Linked DNA regions of Mytilus edulis. The protein of the gene in region 1 interacts with the protein of each later gene in a pairwise test. Links are inferred from orthologs where the notes say so. Each region holds a gene or a part of one and is shown in the gene's direction. Other genes may lie near its edges.

Region 1 (9,854 bases):
AGTTTGGTTAAATTTGGCCCAGTAGTTTCAGAGGAGAAGATTTTTGTAAAAGTTAACGCAGGACGACGACGACGGACGACGACGACGACGGACAACGCCGGACGCCAAGTGATGAGAAAAGCTCACTTGGCCCTTTGGGCCAGGTGAGCTAAAAAAATAACTCCTGAAATGTATATCTTTTTGTGTATGTACAAGTAGTCATCAAAATAAAGAAGAAATAGTGGAAAATTGTTACAAGACTAATGGATGAAAAATCCTGAGACATTATGCTAAAAAATGACAAATTTCAACAACCTCGGGTCCCTTAATTTTGTACAGAACTTCACAAAAGCATAATCAAACACTGACAAAATAAACACCGTTGGTATATGAACAAACAATATTATTGAACATAAGTACATAACTGTACAAAGAGTATGTTTTGATATGAGATGTGCCTTAAAAATAGGTACAAACTACAAAGTCAGATATTTATTAGTTGATACATGATTATGACAGTTTAACACAATTAGTATGAAATTCTACATTGATGAGATAATTATTCTTCAGATATTTGATACATTTTAAAAAATCTATGCTTCTTTTTGCTGTCAATCATTTGTACATGTATGTGATGATGATTAGAATTATTCCGTGTCTTTTGATTGTTTGTTCCTATTTTCACTCCATGCCTTTGCTATAGTTTTCTTCATCTCGTCATCTCCGTCTTCATACATCTGTTTCATCATGGTCATCAAACTGTCATTAGGATCAGCATTTTCATCCACTTTCGGTCTGAAACAAATAAGTCAACATAAACTTTGATTCAGATTGATTTTTTAATTTAAAACAAGCATAAAAAATAGATGAAAAAGTGCCTCGTAAAACTTTCTTTTATTTAGAGTAGAAAAATTTGTAATATAGTATATGAATCATATGTAAAAAGTAAAATCACAAAAATACTGAACTTAGACGAAAATCAATTCAGAAAGTCCATAATCACATGGCAAAATCAAATGTAACATATATCTTTCTTCAATAATGAACTTGTACTTAATTATCTCTTATTGTTTCAGTAAATCTTAAATAAATGGGGAATGTGTAAATGGGACAAAGATAATGCCCCAGCTGGCATATAATTGTTATAATGGGACATAACTCAAAAATGGTAGAAGTGACGATACCTAACTTTGTACTTGATCTGAGTTTTGTGATAAGAAGCATTAAGTTAGAAAAAGGAAACGAGAGAATCAGTATTTTTTCCATTTGAACAGGGGCATAACTAACAGTAATAGTGACATCACCAAAATTCAAACTTGATCTGTGTTTGTGCTAATAAGTAATGTGTAAAAGTTAAATCACTAAATTCAGGCAAACTAAAGTTAGAGAATAGAAACTTATTTTTGGAAGTAAGGACGGACATTATAATGCAACATTTAGTACATAAAACGTTTATTGAACAATATTAGACACAAAATTCTTAATAAATATTTTATCAATATATAAGTTGCCAAGTTTTCATTTTGCTTAATCATGGTTTTGAATTTCATGACTTTTATAGCAGGCAATACAAAAAAATGTAAAAAAGATGGATAAAAGATGGAATTATGAGTAAAGCAAAATGAATAAAAAATAGTATGTCTTACTTTTTGGCTTCCTTTTCTTTATGTTCTCGCTGGGTGACATGTGACCAGGTTTTTGTATTGTCCTTTCTCATCATTACCAGGACAGTGTCTGTTTTAATCTGTAATAATGGAATACAAAATTGTCATATCTCTTTACACACAAGCATTCATACCTTAATTTCATTCATTTCACAGGTATCACAGGTTAAAAACAGGATAATCATAATAAATATGACTGAAGTTATTGGCAGAAACAAGTTAGAGTAAAATATCATTAGTGTACAATAACACACAGAACTCTAAAATCTGGAATATTTTATGTCAATGCACCATAAATAATCCCAAAGGTATTTCAGCAGATTGCCTATCCCCCTTTGAGCATTGCTACCGTAAGCAGAATGCAGGCTACCTACAAACAACCAAGAATCATTCCGTGCTCACTACAATGAGCAATTTTATTCAGCACATCCATGACCATCCATGTACTAAAAGTATTTTTGTCTTTTGTGGATTCTTAATTTTACCATTTTATCTGTGAATATTTCAAGGACTAAGTGCAATATGTATAACCTTCCTGTATTTACCTGAGTTTACCTGTACAAAATGTATATTATTGATAAACTGATTGATATAAATATCCAACTTCTAATTTTACCTTGAAAAAACTTTCACTGGGTTGTATATCCTCAAAAAGTTTGGAAATATAAAGTTCATGATTTTTACCATCCAAGTCGTTCACATTTAATCTGATGGTTCTGGAAAATGAAAAAAATCTTCCATGAGAAATCGTTTTCAAAAACTGATGAATTATATTTGTTTGTGTCAAACCTTCATTTTACACACATCTTTGTCAATCTAGTGTAATTGTATGTGACTGCCATACAAGTGAGCTATAAAACAAGGTTAAACAATAGAAAATGCATGTACCAAGTCAGGGATATGACAGTTGTTATCCATTTGTTCGTTGTGTTTGATCTTTTGATTTTGTCATTTGATTAAGGACTTTTCATTTTGAATTTTCAGTATTTTTGTGATTTTACTTTTTACATAGAACACCTCCCATTGTATAAATGGTAAGTATGAAGTGGGAACAGAGCATCTCTTATTCCTTCTTTGATATATGCACTTTTTTGAAGATATTCATCTTATTAGCATATAAATTGATTTTCATTTTTTTGTCCCTTTAAATAAGCAAACACATGTATTTTTCTATGGCAGTACCTGTTGACCTATTTTTCTATGGCAGTACCTGTTGACCTATTTTTCTATGGCAGTACCTGTTGACCTATTACCGTAAGTACTAAAGTACAAACTGTTATAAAATTGATATTCCTAGTACATTTTCCTGTGGATTCATTTGTTTTCGTTGGTACCAATTTTCGTGGATTGTGGAAACCTTGCATTTTTGTCGATACTTGATTTCTTTGTTTTGCCCATCTGTGCATACAATATGTAGAAAGACTTTAAGAAAATTTGTAATTCATTGAATATTTAAATCTGTGGTTCAACTGTTCCAACGAAACCAAGGAAACCCAAGGAACTTAGTATCCAATGAATAATAATGAATCCACAGTATTTATAGGAAAAAATTAGCTTTGAGCATACATGTTAGCTAGTTTAATCAAGAAAGACACTTTAAGTACAGTAGCTTCTATGTTTGATTCGGAACAGTTATTGTCATGACTGTATTCCTCATTCTTTAAAGAGGACCCTTGTTCATTTTAAGTTTTAAATATGTTCCGTAGATATTTAGGTCATTCAAAACTATAGCATTATCCTTAGCCTTACCTTTTTGTGAATTGAGTGGTAATTTGATCTTTAGGTAAAGATTGTACACCTTTCAAGGTGACATACAGTTTCATAAACTTTTCTGATTGATCCCATGCTGAAAGGAATTCAAAAATCATAAAAATACTTTTTAATCCTTGCTAAATTCATTTGTCTTTTGTCAAAATCATAGAACTTTTGTTTTTTTTAGAAACAATTTAGCCTTCATTTAATTTAGGAAACAGCTTTTATATCTATTTACAATTTGAAAAACATTTTGAAAAAGAAACGTTGTAAAAAATTTAAGTTTAAATCTGGAATGGTTCTACATGATATTTATATATAGTCATTGACTGTACAAAACATTTGCATGAAAATGTACAGATTGTCATACTGATTTTTTAATGAAAGGTTGGATTTTAAGAATGAGCTAGGAACATCCATTACTAATAATAGGGGATAGTTGTCTTATTGGCAATCATACTGCATCTCCTTTAATATTTTGATAAGAACATTCATTACTCACCATAGGTATGTATTGTGACTGTGTAAGGTCCTGTCTTTGGTTTCACTGTTGTTCCTGGTATTGATTTTTGTTCTGTTGAACTTTTTAGGCGATCCTGTTTTTGTATTAACTCAGTTTCCAATTTTCTTTTATCCAAACCAAGAAGATCTTTAACTCGTGTTCGACAAGCAGATTCTAGTAAACTATTAATTTCTTCAATATCACTCTTCAACTAATAAAGAAATTGAAAATAAAGAAAGATACATATAATACATGAAAACTTTATTTTAAACATCACTGTCATTCTGTAAACAGTTAGTATAATAGTCCCAGGCCTTATAAATATGAGGGTCATCATAGGGGTACCTTCAAACCAAATAAATAATAAAAAAAAACTTGCCAATTGACTTACAGTAATTTTTGGTGCATAACGATAAAATGTGTATTTTCTTTATGACAATCATGACAATAAAAAAAAATTAATGCTTTTGGTGAATCACAATAAATCGTTTCTGAAATTAACAGAAACAGATAATCATATGAGAACCTCAGAGCTCTAAAGAATCATGAATCATGATAAGTATATTTTGAAGAATCCAGATAAATTTTAACCTATTAATGTTAACAATGGTTAATGTTAACCGAAAATTACCATTTGAAAAATGACAGTAAAGGTATTTCTTCCCTCAAATATACACTAGGAGTTAAGCCATGAAACCCAAAGTTCAAAATGGTGAAGTTGACCCCTTTGTAAATTTTATGATTACAAGTTGGTTGACTGTAATGGAAAATCTGTTTCTCAGATGATAGCAGATATGTTTTATCACAGGAGTTTAAAATCCTATGAATAACGGGGTAAAACTATACCAAACTCGACTATCACAGTAGAGTTTCTCTCGAAGAGAGCGTTTATTCCGACTCAAAACATCCCTTTTCAAAAAATTAGGAACAATGAGGAAAATGCATTGCATTCCTGTCGCTTATCTCTTTGAGAGAAGCTCTACTGTGATAGTCAAGTTTGGTATAGTTTTTATCCCGTTGGTGGTGCCACATGTGTAGCAGCTAGGATCTGCTTACCCTTCAAGAGCACCTGGGTTAGTGTTGCAAGGTTTTTAGTAAAAGTTTATTTTTCTATATTGTGTTTGTGTACTATACACCTTATCGCTAATCCCTGCTGACCCGGCCGCTTGAACTTTTGATGCATACAACAATCACTTTTCCATTGTGGCGTCAGATATTTTTTTTAAGACATCAAAATTTTACGGGAACCTGTGTGATATCCAGTAATGGCGGACAAATAGCGATAAGGTGTATTGTTCATCTGTTGGTCTTTTCCTTGTTTTTTTTTTTTAATTTGGACAAAGAGACACAAATTTTAATATTGATTTTGGACAAGGAGATTCAAATAATTTTAATATTGATTTTAAAAAAAAATATATGAACTGTTCTGTTATCTTTTGTTTTAAAAAAAAAAAGGGGGGAGGGGGGGTGCCATGCACTATCAATATCAAACCGAAACCAAAATTTTATAAAAATGGCACGTGTAAAAAATTCTGCAGTAAAGCGTGTAACTACAAGTGGATGGGAGTGAACATCATATACTTACTTCTTCAATTTGTTTTTCCATGTTTAAACTAAGGGAATTATTGAATTTCGGTTGTGAGAGAGGCACAAAGAGGCAAATTGGTCTATCCAACTTTCACTTTCGATTCTGGAAAGTTCATTTTTTGATGGTATTAGTGTTTGAATTTGTATTTGATATTTTCCCTTGAAAAAACATACAACCGATCTAAGTGTCGTTATCTTTTCGAAATTCTCTAGACTTTACATTAAATATGATGTGCAAACCCGAATTTTCCTTTTCTTGGTTATTGAAGAGTTTGAAACTATGTGTTTTCATCCTTTCTCAATATAAACATAGTTGACATTGACTCATTAGAGATGTTTTGTTGAACAAGCAAAATGTCATTAATTCGGCAAATATACAATCTATACAGATGTTGTAGGGGACCTCGGTTATTTAGAAAACACAGTGATGATACCCATCAGGTGATTAATCATAAATTATTCAAATATTTTAGGTTTACAAGTTCAAAGTTTCATACTGCACAAATAGATTTCACAAACTTGTATAGTCCGAGATTCTTCTTCTCTTCTTTTAGTTTCCGCACTCCATCATAATATTGATGACTATGTGCTCTTTCCAACGGCCCCAGCTTGTCTGGCAAAACAGCTGTTGGACGTCAGAGTAATCTGGGACTAAAACTTGTATTCCTCTTGGGACCAGTCGTCGACTAGTGATTTAATTATCTAAATGAAGATCTTGTTATTACACGACTGCAAAAATTTTTGGTATCACGTTGTCGTCAGCGTTGTCCAAAGACAGATGTTTTCCGGATAAGAACTTTAGTAATATGAGGCAGGTATTACCTGTGAATGGGGATGAAGTCTATTATTTTTTTTTTTTAATTCAAACATGTTGATAAAAGAAACGGAAGTACTGTAACGTTTCCGATTTTGGTTCTGTTGTTAGGGATTTAGTTGTGACGTCATATTCAATGTAAACAAAGAAACGCTGTTATCCAGGTAACGTTTTTTTCATTTGAATTCCTTCCTATATTTGTTGATATGTTAACAAATATACATTTTATTCAAAGTCTCATGCAAACAAGACCGGAAATTGTTGCAATTTTTCTCATTTTAGATTTCAGAAATTAAAAAGAAAATTTCTTCAAATATTTTATTTTTGAGAGGATTTATATTAACACTTTCACTACTGAATTTATTTTTTTCGCGGGATTCCCTGGCCGAAATTTATTTGCACGAGCCGTTTGCCTGACCGGGATTAATTTCACATGTGCTTCAGCAAAAACGACCTCGTAGTTTTGGTCATTGAAAACTCGGGAACTGTAGCGAGTTGTGCGGTCAAATTTTGATAAAATGTAGATAAATATCATAGGTTGAGCGTCCGTAACCTTTTCATAGAGTGAAAAGCAGTTTACCTTAAAAACGCGTGTCGAAAACGTTGATTGATTGAATCGGAAGATAATTTTTGTCATTGCCTACCGTATATCACTTTCACTTCCATTCGGCAACATTTCTTAAGCACACGTGTGTTTCAAAATTCTATTTCTATGAGCTACTGAATTATTTTCTTTCAAAACCCGTTTCCGTTTTCGTTTTCTTGGCAATAATACTTGTAAATCGAGACTGTCGTTCACGTAGATTTTGGCCGCCATTTGTTTACGGTTTCGAAAGAAGAAAGATAACTCGGGCTCGATAACGGACAATAACTCTTCGAGACGAGTTGTATAATACCCCCAGCGTTGATGTGCGATTACTGAACTAATTAAAAATAATTGTTAACTGCAATAATAATTGATGGGACTTCATTACTTTATGACTTAACCCCAGTAATGCCTTAATTCTTCCACATGTGAATGAGATAAAGCTTTCCAATAGATAAAATAAATGAACCCAAAAAGTGATTTTTTTTTTAAAGTTCTAAATCCATGAAATTTCCAATAAATTTGATTTGGGTCATGGGGGTTGTATAATATAAAAAAAATGTTTAAGCATTAATATATGTACTACAAATAAGCAAATATTCAGCTGTATCTCAAGATAAAGAGCCTAGTGAATTTTTTTTTTTTGAAAATTGTTGAAATTAAATTTGAACTTTGTAGTCAAAATTTAGGATGTATAAGACAACATAAAATTGACAAATACATCAACTGATGTTTGTTAAAGCAGCACAAATAAATACTAAAAGCTGGCAATTAATATTTTATAAATTTATTTTCATCATAGTTAAATTTATTAATCATATTCAGTAGAGGTAAAGAAGATAATATATGCAGACAACTACTGGGTACTGTTTTATTTAAACTCATGATATGTAGACACAGATGCAAGTCGTTGAAAACTATTGCAAAAAAGGGATTAAAATACATCATGTACATGTTTTACTGCAAAATGCAGTTTTAAAATTCATTGATGGAAAGCTACACCAGGGAGCTGCATGATATAGTTTGTAATAACATTTGGAAGCTATGAAATTTGTTTTAGTTTATAATGCTGCATACTCATTGAATAGGAGGATTCATATCATAAATTTTGATTTTAAAATTGAGTGAGGACAATGGAAACTATTTTTTTTTATTTTCTGTTTATATTGTTGGGTTATTTAATGGAATGGTTTGTCAAAAAGTGAATAAAAATTACTTGAGTGAGGTTGTTATACTATAACCATTGTTACCAGTCTATTAATTAATCTTTTACATCCAGCAGCAAGTGTTACTTACATATAAGCCTATATATTAATGTGGTATGAAGATACCTGCTTATGTGTACTAGTCCCATAAACAGTGTTAATTTAAGAAGCTGACTTGCAAGGTGACAGCTACAAGACCCTAATGTGGTCCCATTATCCCATTTCCAATTTGATCAGTTTTTTCTCTTACTCCTTACTACTACATGTATATGACTTGGCATCTGAGAGAAGAAGCAATTTATATACCATTTGAAGTCCCTTTTTGAACACAAAAAAGATGTTTCCTAGTGTTAAAAATGGTTGCTTATATTGGCATTACAAATTGTAATAAACTTTAGGCACTGCCGCACTGGTCATTCATCTTTTGTGTTAGTGTGCTACATGAGGGGGAGTTCTTCCTCATAATTTCCATAACAAAAAATTTAACCCCTATATTGTTTTCAGAAACATACAGGAACAGTATTATTTTACAATAATAAATGATGCCATCTCAAGATTAATCAGAAGCAACAGACAACACCTTATGTTATTTCACTTTGGGGAAAAAAATCACTTCCCTCCAGCAAAAATTTTTTTTTTTCCCCCTTTCCAATTCTCAAAAAAAAAAAAAAAAAATTCCCTTCCCTTCTAAAACAAATATAATTTTTTTCACTTCCCTTCTTTGACAATGTTTTTTTTTAAATGAGAAAGAAAACAATTTGTTACATAAAATAATCATCTTGGCATCTTTCAGGATTTTTTTACTCTCTGTCAACATTATTTGTTTTTCAAAACAACTTTTAAAATTTTTGTATGCTGAACAAGACTTTTAAAAACCTCTGTCACAAGACGAGATACATCATGGAAAATAATTTACACTCGATTAAAATACGAATAAGATTGCAGAATATTGTCTCATCTTTCGAAACCACTTTTATGTAAAATAATAAATCTATGAGATGTAACAACACGTGTTTTTATGAACCGCACTATTTATAGACTCAGCTGTCAATTTTGTCAATATCCGGTTCTATTTAAAATAAAAGTGGACTTTCGTTTTGTCGACCTACATACTGCAGTACAGCCTTTCAATGAAAAGAATAAAACCCGTAACACTACAGACTCCTGAGAGTGTCTAAAACGATGATAAAAGACTCTGACTCAATCGGTAATGAAAGGTTGACTGTCAAACGGCAACGAGAAATAATTATTTACAGTCGTGCACCTGATGGCGACAATCAAAGTCTCGATTTCAGGTTGTTTTACAAATATCCTTCTCACAACTCCAAAATATACATACAATCACTACTTTTGTTCAATTTAAACGACTTTCATGACCGCAGGTTAAGTTTTCTCAATGTTTCAACTCGAAATGAAACTCCTGACCACGATTGTTTATGATTCCGCCATTTTGTTTTTCACGAGGTTTTTTTTTCTCAACAATCTTTGAAAAAACATATTTTAACAGTGTTTTTACGCCCGATACTAAAATATCGAATGCATTTGGTGTTTATCATAACATCCATGGAGCAACGGGGCCAAGAAACATGTTTAAACGTTATTTTTACTGTTTGCACTGTGACCGTCTAAAAATAGAAATCTATGTATCCTTAAGGATACATTCGGCATCTACACGGGGGTGCCAAAAGGATACATTCGGCATGCGCGCGGGTGTGCCAAAAGGATACATTCGGCATGAAAGGGTTAACAGCATAGTGACTTGCTC
Region 2 (10,503 bases), about 82 Mb from region 1:
ATTTATCCCAGCTCAATCTTTGCACGATGCACAAGTAACAATATCTTGTCATCAATCTAAAATACTGAACTCCAAGGAAAATTCAAAAAGGAAAGTCCCCAATCAAATGGCAAAATCAAAAGTTCAAACACATCAAACGAATGGATAACAACTGTCATATTCCTGACTTTGTACGGACATTTTATAATGTAGAAAATGGTGGATTGAACCTGGTTTTATAGCTAGCTAAACCTCTCACTTGTATGACAGTCGCATCAAATTCCATTATATTGTCACCGATGCGTGAACAAAACAAACAGACACAATAGGTATTAATGTCAAAAATAGGGGTACAGCAGTCAACATTGTGTTATCATCTTAATCACTGTGTGTTACGAAAAAGCACAAAAAGGCATACATCAAATTTAACATCCTCATTTTGCTTATATTATACGATTTTATTTATCTATGTAAAATGCACCCAGGCATACAGGATGGAGGGTTTTAAGTACTGGTGTAAAATTGTGCGTTAGAAATTCGCACAGGTAGACATGAAATAATTTTGTCGTTCAAAGTATGACGGGATACATAAATACAGTCACGTAAAATAGATATAACAAAATATCACAAAAATACAGACTTAACAGTAAAAGTAATATTAATAAATAAAATAATTTTGTCATTCAAAGTATGACAAGATACATAGGTACAGAGTAACATCATAAAATAATTGTGTCGTTCAAAGTATGATGGGATACATAAGCACAGAGTTACGTCAAAAGGATATCTCAAAAAACAGACTTAACAGTAAAAGTAATATTAATAAAGACAAATAAAAGAAAAATATAACACGTTATTAAGATGATAAACAAGTCAGTACGCAAAATCTATACTTCAAGACCTTCGTGTATTATTTGTGAAGTTGATACGGAATATTTATCAACAAGTTCTTGGTACCTTCCGATGAACTTTTTTTTAGAAAAAGGACGAGACGTTCTTTGACATACCCCTGGTTCATCAACTTTCTGCTCAGACACTGGTGACGTTTTACAAAGTCTGAGTAGGAGCTGCAAGCTCTTGAATACCGAATAAGTTGGGAAATGTATATTCCATATGCAGGTGAAGTTGGTATATTGCTACTAAGGTGTGGGAAATTGATAATTTCAAAATCAAAATCGTCTCGTTTGTCATAGATTCTGGTACTGAGATCACTGTGTATGTCAAATTCGAGGTATAAGTCTAAAAATGAGGCGGAGGAAGCCGTGTCTGTTGTCTCTTTAATTTCTTGTTCTGGTGGATATATTAATGCAACCCAATCAAAAAAGTTCGGATTGTTAATGGAAAGAACATCAATATATCTGAAAGTGAAATTAAATAACCTGGCTTCTTTGATCTTCTTGTTTTTGACAAGTGTCTGAAGGAACTCCGATTCATATGAAAATAAGAAGAGGTCAGCAAGGAGAGGCGCGCAGTTCGTTCCCATAGGAATGCCGACAATTTGTTGAAAAAGTCTACCTCCAAATTCAACATATATGTTGTCAATAAGAAACTCCAGCATACTGATCACTTGTTCCTCTGTGTAGCATATTTTACCCTTTTGTTCACTATTAACAAAATACGCCTTATGGTATCCCAACGTAATAAATTTATAGCGTATGCTACCATTTTCATGATGAAAAGCATTGTGGATGTTTAGACGGTTTTTCAATTTCACATGGGGAATAGTGGTACACAAGGTTGAAAAATCAAAAGTTTTGATAGAACTAATTTCAGAAAAAGACTGAGATTTAAAATTATCCAGGAGTTTTTTTTTAGAGTTTTTAAGAATCCACATATGGTTAATACCACTACGCGAGTAAACAGTTTCACAGTATTTCTGAAGTATTTTCTTTCACTGCGGACAGAATTTTAGTCAATCTAATGGACAATTCTTTAGTGGAACATGCAGATGAGCTGGCAATGCACCGTTGTTTCTACGGAATTATGTGAAGTTTAGGTATCAAATAAAAACTAAGTAAGTCCTCCGATTTGTTGTTCAATGTAATGTTCATTGAAGCCATGAAGGACTTATGATTCGCCAAAATCTCATCCTTGTCAAATGATATGTTTTTGTATGTGGGATTACCTGAGTGCTCATTTATTCCTAAGTATATTACAAGACACTCGTAGTAATACGATTTACATGTATACAAAGACAATATTATTTGAAGCTTTGTCCGCAGGGACAACAACATACTTTTCTTGAAGACATGATAGACATTCTACAGCCTCTTTGTCTCTGAAAACGAACTTTGGTCGATCATTCACACAGTTTTTCAACTTATGAATGCGACGTTTTATCAGAGACCTGATTGTTTTGACCCATTCTGACAAAGTGTCCAGTTGAACTTCTTCTCGTTTAGCCCATGCTCTGGCGTAGTCCTCAATGGAATCCATAATTATTTTGAAATTATGGTTCCAATTGATGTGTTGGGGTTCTCTAAACTTAGGACCATGAGAAATCACCTTTCGGAGATTTTCATGTTGAATTATGTTTAGATTCCCAATATAACATGGCCAGTGGGACTGTAATTGTAAGGCGGGTGGGAATAGTCACATGTCAGAGGTTTTTTTTGGTATTGTTCTGAATCAAGGTCTTGTAATGCTTGTTTATAGTTAAATATTTATGGTTCAATGGTTTTGGTGTAACTGTAGGATACAATAGGAACAGACTGATTTTGAAAATGAATAGGAATTTTAGATGTTACCTCATTTTGATGTAGAACGTTGCTGATGTTGATTGCATCAATTCCTTTATTGGTAAAGTAAACAGGAAGGAATTTTCTCTTTTCCTCATGTAAAGGTTTCGATCTTACTGGTTTAAAAAGACGGAAAAGAGCTACATCACAAATTATACTGACAAGTCTGTATAATGGAGAAAATGTATTTATGCATCCTTTGTCAAGTGCATAATCTCTCAAACATTTTAGAAAATTAACAGGTAGTGAAAAAAGAATATTTCTAATGTAATGTAACCCTAGCGGATGATGAAGATGAGAAAGGAGGTCAATCGAAGCTTCTAGAGGGCGATCTAGATTTGGAAGATTTTTTTTACATTAGGCCGATGGTAACGTTTTTGTCCATGACTACGTTGGTTTCGTAAGGTAGTATTGAATAAACTCATTACATTAACATCACTGCAGGCTGGACTTGAAAAATTTCCTACTCATTTCACATTATCATTGCAACCATATGGCATTGCAGTACCTAGTTCCCTTATCCAGAAATTTTCTCAGTCTTTTAGAAAAGGAGTACTAAGTACAGGGCTATTTGTGTGGTGATAAATTTTCTCGATGATTCGTACTTTCATAGACAAAGAAGGATCATGGTCCGGTTGATTAAAGTGGTTATAAAGAACCCTGAATTGCGGATCTTTATGATCAGACCGGTGTTGATTCATCCTTTTACGTAAAGTTTGTCGAGTTTCACCAACATAAAGTAGTCCACACAAAGTACATTCAATTCCGTACACGACATTGTCTGTGGAACAGTCCAGAGGCTCGAACACTGGTGATAAATAAATAATTTTACCAGTCACTTGAGCTAATTGCCTAGCAGAGAAAAACAAAAAAATTTCTAAAATTTCATCTATAGATTGTAACAAATTATTTAATCTTCTTTCGGGAATTTAAATGCAGAATTGAGCAGAATCCCAAGTGATTCCTAACCATTCTAACTTTTGGGAAGGTTCAAAAAAAGATTTTTCTAAATTGACTACAAAACCAGCCTCTTTTAGTGACTTTTTCAAAAATTCGGAATCTTTCTGACATAATTCGTAATATGAAGCCATTCCGAAACCATCATCTAAATACAAAACAATATCAATCGAATTTTGTCTCCAATATTTGACCATAGATCTCAAACATTTAGTAAACAAGTAAGGGCTAGAAGCTAGACCAAAAACTAAAACTGAAAAACAGTAATACTTGTTATTCCAGGAAAAACCAAGAATTTTTTGTTGCCGAGCACAAATGTCGTAATGATGATAACCAGATTTTAAATCGAACTTAAACAGATAAGAACCTCTTTTGAAAAATTGAATAGCTGTTTTCCAGTCTTCAAATTTAAATCTCTCTTTTTTGACGGATTTATTTAAAATTGAAAGATCTATTATTAACTTCTTTTTTCCGGACTTATTGGTGGCTACTGATAAAGGATTAACAATAGAAGGCGTAAAGGGAATTTCATATGCACACCCAGAATAAACTAATTCTAAAACGGCTTTATCCACAAATTCTGAGTTAGAAACAGCAGATTTATTGTTTTTCATGTGCATACTGGGGGAGGCACTAAAAATGGCATTACATAACCGTTTTTAATTGTATCTAAAACAAAATCACTAGCTCCAATCTTAACCCAAAAATCGTAACGTTTTGCAAGCCTACCTTTAAAGTTATGACTAGCAGAAAAATCTAATTTTTCAAGAAAATGAACTTGTGACATAAATTCGTCAAGTTCGTCGTTATTGCATTCATAGCTAGAAGATAACAAACTTATATCTAGATACTTATCATTAACAGTAACTGTATCATTGCTGTTTGGATGGCTGGTAACTGGGTGCAGAAGCTGTGGCTACTTGAAGTTGAGTGGGCAGTTTCTCTCCAGTGACCATACTGCTTGCAGTAGGGACAGGTGTCCATGGGGCACGGCTTACGCCGTGCAGTGCTGGTACGATAGCGACTGAAATCGTAAGCTGGAGGAGGAGCAGGGGCAGTAGGGATACTTCCAACTGCTGGAGTAGGTCTAGCTGTATACGGCTGAGGGCGGGTCTTTTTCTCCTTAATACTTTTGAGGGCCATAGTATCGGCCTGGCGAATCTTTTTCTCGTCCTCATCATTTTCGGCGATATCGTTACTTTCATATTCTATCATGAACCGTAAGTTAACCCATCCCCCAGTGGAGTTATCAGCAATCCTGACGAGTTTGTTCCTTTCTTTAAGATAACCCACCAAATCACCAGTAATAGAAGAAATAGAAAGGGGAAAGCAACAGATAAAAGATCCTTGTGGATTTTGTTAAGACCATCCATAGTATTCTCATTAAAACGAAACTGAATCCGGTTCCCTTCTGATTTAAATTTAATATTAGCCTCATCTCTGTATTTCTTGTATAAATTGTCTTGCTCTGACAGAATGTCGGACTTTAAATCAACAAGTTTCTTATCCAAATAGTCTTTCAAAAGCCCAAAAGTGTCTACTACAGGTCACGGTTTTGTTGATTAGCTTGTGAATTGGAAGCATTAAGACGTTCGGCTGACCATGCAAGGGGTCCCTTAACAAATCTTCTTCATTCAAATCGAGTACTGGTTCGGACATATCTTTACCTAAACTAAGCTGCCTTACTAGACGGTATACGAGATTCGAATGACAATATATCTTAAATTACTTAAACAAGACAACTATTCGCGCTTTAAAAAATCCAGTGCTATAAATACAAAACAAATATCATACACAGGGACTCGGTAAGCAGATTAAAATTTTGTAAATCAATGTTTTTAATTTATTATTTTATTATTTCCTGTCTATTTGCATTACTTTATTAACGTATTTGACCTTGCCATCACTATTTCTTTGTTTTCTGGCAATGTGCAGTTTACTATCCATATCCGTATACTGAAAAATAGGATTTTTACTATCCGTATACTGAAAAATAGGATCATTTTACTATCCGTATACTGAAAAATAGGATTTTTACTATCCGTATACTGAAAAATCCTATAGGATTTTTCAGTATACGGATATATGGATAGTAAACTGCACATTGCCAGAAAACAAAGAAAGTGCAGTTTACTATCCATATCCGTTTACTGAAAAATAGTTTTACTATCCATATCTGTATACTGAAAAATAGTTTTTTTCAGTATACGGATATGGATAGTAAACTGCACATTGCCAGAAAACAAAGAAATAGTGATGGCAACGTTAAATACGTTAATAAAGTAATGCAAATAGACAGGAAATAATAAAAAAAATAATTAAAAACATTGATTTACAAAATTTTAATCTGCTAAACGAGTCCCTGTGATATCATACTCAATATATTTACGCAATGCGACAAATATTGACCAATCCGAAATATCATATATTTAAAACACAAACCTGTTTATTTAATATAAACACCAATAGATGAACGCTATGCGGACACTCACTCACGTGTGATTGTTTACATAACAGAAAACACGTGTATGCTCAACTTTAATAAATACATTTATGATCAACTATCATCACATCTTCTTACATCCAATAATAAACAAAGGTGAATGAGAAGCCGGGGAGAACCCCCGAGTCGACCAGTCACCTTTGATCCGACAACTCACAATCATACTCAAGATTGAAGTCGAGCTCACCCTTAAAATAGATAAAAAGCAGTCATAAAACCGGATTTATACTTTTCCGTAACTGATCACACTTTTAACATTTTTTTCTTATTTTTCCAGGTTAGGCCGACTGGTCAGTTACAGTACAACAATCCAAATGTCTATACATTTATATAAATTGAAATCGTTGTTCAACGATATAAATAATAAATCTTGTTTGATTTACAAATTTAAACATTTTTATAAGTCGTAGTCACATGATCAGAATACGTCATTTCCAAAACAAAAATGGCATCTGTTTGTTGACAAACATAAACAGCAATTTACTGGGTCAAATCAAGCAATATGGATAACCCTATGGTACTCAATGGAGATAGTTTAAATAGACACAGTGAACAAATATTGAAAAACATTCTAAGTCCGATTGAACCTTTTGTAATGCAAATTCAAAGTCTACTTGTGTGGGAAAGTCCAAGAAGAAGTGCAGTGTTATTTATTATTATTCATGCTATATTTTGGTAAGAACTGACTTAACAATAGCATTTGGCATGAACTGATATGTGGCTTTCAAAATGAAGAAGCCAAGGATTGCAAATAATTTGAAGCTAGGTGTTTCATTTGGTAAACAACATGAATAACAGAGGACGTTAAAATGCATCATGCAATGCGAGGTCAAACAGGACAAAATTCCAATTTCTAGAGTCTGTACAATAGCCACATTCATGGTTGCCTTTGTTCTGTTGGTTCTTTTACCTGTTCAACCTTGGAAAATTTACCTAAATTTATATTTGCTCTCATTAATTTGTTATGTTACGTTTTATTTTAAACAGGTATTATCATGATTATCCATAAGGTCCATTTGCTCCCAAAACATTTGCATCCTGCCTGTTTGCCCCTTAGGTCTGTTTGCACCCTATTCTTATTCAAATTCTAGTTGAACAAGTGGATGATTTTCATATGGGTGTATTTATGTATTTCCTTAAATATAATTCGTGAATTTTTATCATGTTCAAAAGAAATTATTTTTGTGATTAGATGATTTAAAATTATTATTGATATTTACAAAGTTTATTTGGTTACTTTAGTGAAAGTAAATTAAAAGACCGTAGTTAGCTTGGTTATGTTGATAGGAGTAGAACCAATAAACAGATATAGATTGTAATTGAAAAAATGAAAGACAATTATTTTTGACACTGGTTAACATTTTGCGACAGGTTTGTCCTTTGATAGCTCTTTGGAATCGTCTGCCTTTTGATTACAAGTCTAAGCTTAGGTACAAATGTACCAAGGAGTTATATAGTCTTACCAAACTAATACTTGTACAGATGAATAATACTGAGTCTTTGATATAATTTTGTAGGTTTTTTACAGTATTTGGTGGCAGAATTTATTTTCTTATCAGTACAGGATTGATAATTTCATATTTTGTACGGACTTGGAAGAGAAAGATATGGCCAGAGATTAGAGGTACCTATATATATTCAGATATAAACATGATAAAGCAGACATGTTAAATAATTGTAACCCTAAATTTACATGTACATGTTGAGCTGAAACAATATGCATACCTAATATATACAGTTCAACTGTGAATTCAAAGTCAAAACTTTATTTTTTATTGTTTGATTTCTTGATTCTTGATAAATCCAAACAATTAAGCTTCCCAGCTTTAAGTTGTCAAAATATACATTTGACAATCAAATAAACATCCTGACTACACACATATTGTAATCAGCTTTCAATCAGTATTAACATGATTAATAATTAAGTTAAGGATGTCAATTTGGGGAAGAATTACAAGTATCTATTGCTCATTGGTTTTACTGCACAATGCTTAAGTTATATAATTATATATATATCAGCACTCAGATAACATATTTTCAAATTGTTGTGGGTCATTGCATGTGAATAGTCTAAAGGCTGTCCAAGGAACTACATATAAATTAAATAGCTTATAACTACATGTACATGTCCCACTGCAATTGGCACAGCCTCCTGTTAAATATTAAGACACCAAACTCAATTAATTTTCCATGTTTTTTTTTCAGTTCCACCAAAAGAGCCTGAGGACCCAGACAGGTTTGTACACTATTGGTGGAGTTACACATTTACACAAATGTCAAATTAAAAAAAAATGAAGATCAATATTTGTAGTTTTATCACAATAAGTACAATGACTAAGGAATACTTGCATTTTTTTTGTAGTTTAAATTTTGAATGACAACATCCATAATCTATAAAAATAACAAATTGCACATGAAAGGACTGGTTGAGAATGAATTTCGTAACTGGGCACATTCAATTTTTAAACATGAGCCTGTACTTGTTTGTCTGAGATTGTTCTGACATCTTACAGACTTTTGTAAAAAATTACTGTTAATCCATTGAGGTTTATGTAGCTTAATTCTGAATTCTAATATATGTAACAACACAAATGATGTCAATGAATTGTATAATATAGGTAAGAGTGACCTACTTTTCATTTGAAGCTGCACGCTAATTTCAATAGTCTAAATGTTGCTTTCTTTACCTTTACATTTTTCTTAAGGGATTTTTTTCTGAGCTTTCAGTCTGTCGGTATCAATGCGAATTATTTAATCAGTTGTCAAAATATGTACAAATGTATAGGGTTAAATGATATTCAGAATATTCAGGTAATATATTACCTCTACAATGTACATTGAATAGGATTTTATTGTTCATGTATATCATGTATATGTTTTTATATTCAGTGAAAATATAAAAAAAGAGATGTGGTAAGATTGCCAATGATACAACTCTCTACAAAAGACCAAATGACACATAAATCAACAACTATAGGTAACCATAAGGCCTTCAATAGTGAGTAAAGTCCATACCGCATAGTGAGCTTTAAAAGGCCCCAACATGACCTATGTAAAATAGTTCAAACGAAAAAAAACTAATGGCCTAATCTGTGTACCAAAAAATGAATGAAAAACAAGTATATTACACATCAACAAATGACATATAATGTTCAAATGTTTGTCAACATCTAAATTCATAGTAAAGTTTTACTTACTCAACTATTGATTGACTGTCACAGTGTTTTATATTTTTTAGCTGGACACCTGTTCACCCTCGTTTACTGAGTGTGCCAGAAATATGTAAATATCTTGCTCAAATATGGTGCTCTTTTGCTAAAGTTGTAAATAGTTGCCTGTCTTTTAGAAGAAATTACAGATTTTTGGTAAGTTGTTTCATTTGATATTACATGTATAACTTTTGAACCTAATAGTTGCCATTAAAATCTTTTAGTAAAAAATATATTAAATGGTCCAGTTGTCATCAGAAATATATTTTCATAATTCTGTTGAAATTCTGGCTCCAGAAAGTATATTTAAGTTTCACACATTTTGAAAAAGCCACAAACACATTTTCTTCTTGAAATATTCAGCACACAGCATTTATTGAGTTGAATTAAATTAAAGTCATGAAATTTCAAATTTAAAAAAAATTTAAATATGTTTTATATACTTGAATGTCTAAATTTTACTTAAGAAAGCAAGTGTACATGGACTTTCTGGTAAAAGAAAATCTCTCATCTTATGATATCAAAATCTTCAGAAATGTACAGCTATTGAATTGTTGTCTTCCCTTACTCTAAGAGGACATTTAGTAGACGTTCATGCATTTGTTCAATAATATCTTGAAAATAAAATTTCAAAAAACTTGTTTCATAGGACTTTAAGTAAATCACATAATTAAAGCACACAGTCAAAGGTGGAATTACAATCACAACATTGCTATAATGTATATATATATATATCAGTATAATTGATTTTAAAAGTTGTTGTTAATTTTTAGTACGTCCAATGGGCAATAAACCAATTAACAGCCTTTTGGTTTTGTGAAAAAAAAAGTTTGAGGAAATTTGAAGTAGTATCTGTGATTCGCGGTGTCACACCGCTATACACTGAAATCGGTGAAAAGAGTTTGAAGTCACTCCCACTCTGCATGCACTGTACATGTAAGGCAACAACTTTTACCTCCAAAATAGATCACTTACTATGTGAATATAATGTGATGGGCCAACAACATACCAACTTTTAGTACTACATTTTTTGTATCATAACTTTAAAAAAAAAAAAGAATGGTGATTTGGGTTCCTTCAAATTGTTTAATACATGTATATAATATTATAAGTGATC

The links.
Region 2: the proteins of phosphatidylserine lipase ABHD16A-like (region 1) and reticulophagy regulator 3-like interact in binary tests that used the Homo sapiens proteins (3 or more experiments, as listed by UniProt). The link is inferred for Mytilus edulis from reciprocal best matches to the Homo sapiens genes ABHD16A and RETREG3.

What each region holds. Positions count from the first base shown.
Region 1 is NC_092345.1:3,769,820-3,779,673, reverse strand, and holds the start of phosphatidylserine lipase ABHD16A-like, read left to right. Parts: upstream 1-5,767; 5' UTR 5,768-5,838; coding exon 5,839-5,925; intron 5,926-9,231; exon of another isoform or gene 9,232-9,296; intron 9,297-9,854. Other genes in the region: calcyclin-binding protein-like, read right to left, coding at 627-774, 1,626-1,723, 2,260-2,359, 3,393-3,489, 3,898-4,108, 5,483-5,503. UniProt on the Homo sapiens protein: Phosphatidylserine (PS) lipase that mediates the hydrolysis of phosphatidylserine to generate lysophosphatidylserine (LPS). LPS constitutes a class of signaling lipids that regulates immunological and neurological processes.
Region 2 is NC_092345.1:86,085,836-86,096,338, forward strand, and holds the start of reticulophagy regulator 3-like, read left to right. Parts: upstream 1-6,592; 5' UTR 6,593-6,679; coding exon 6,680-6,852; intron 6,853-7,694; coding exon 7,695-7,801; intron 7,802-8,382; coding exon 8,383-8,413; intron 8,414-9,415; coding exon 9,416-9,542; intron 9,543-10,503. UniProt on the Homo sapiens protein: Endoplasmic reticulum (ER)-anchored autophagy regulator which exists in an inactive state under basal conditions but is activated following cellular stress.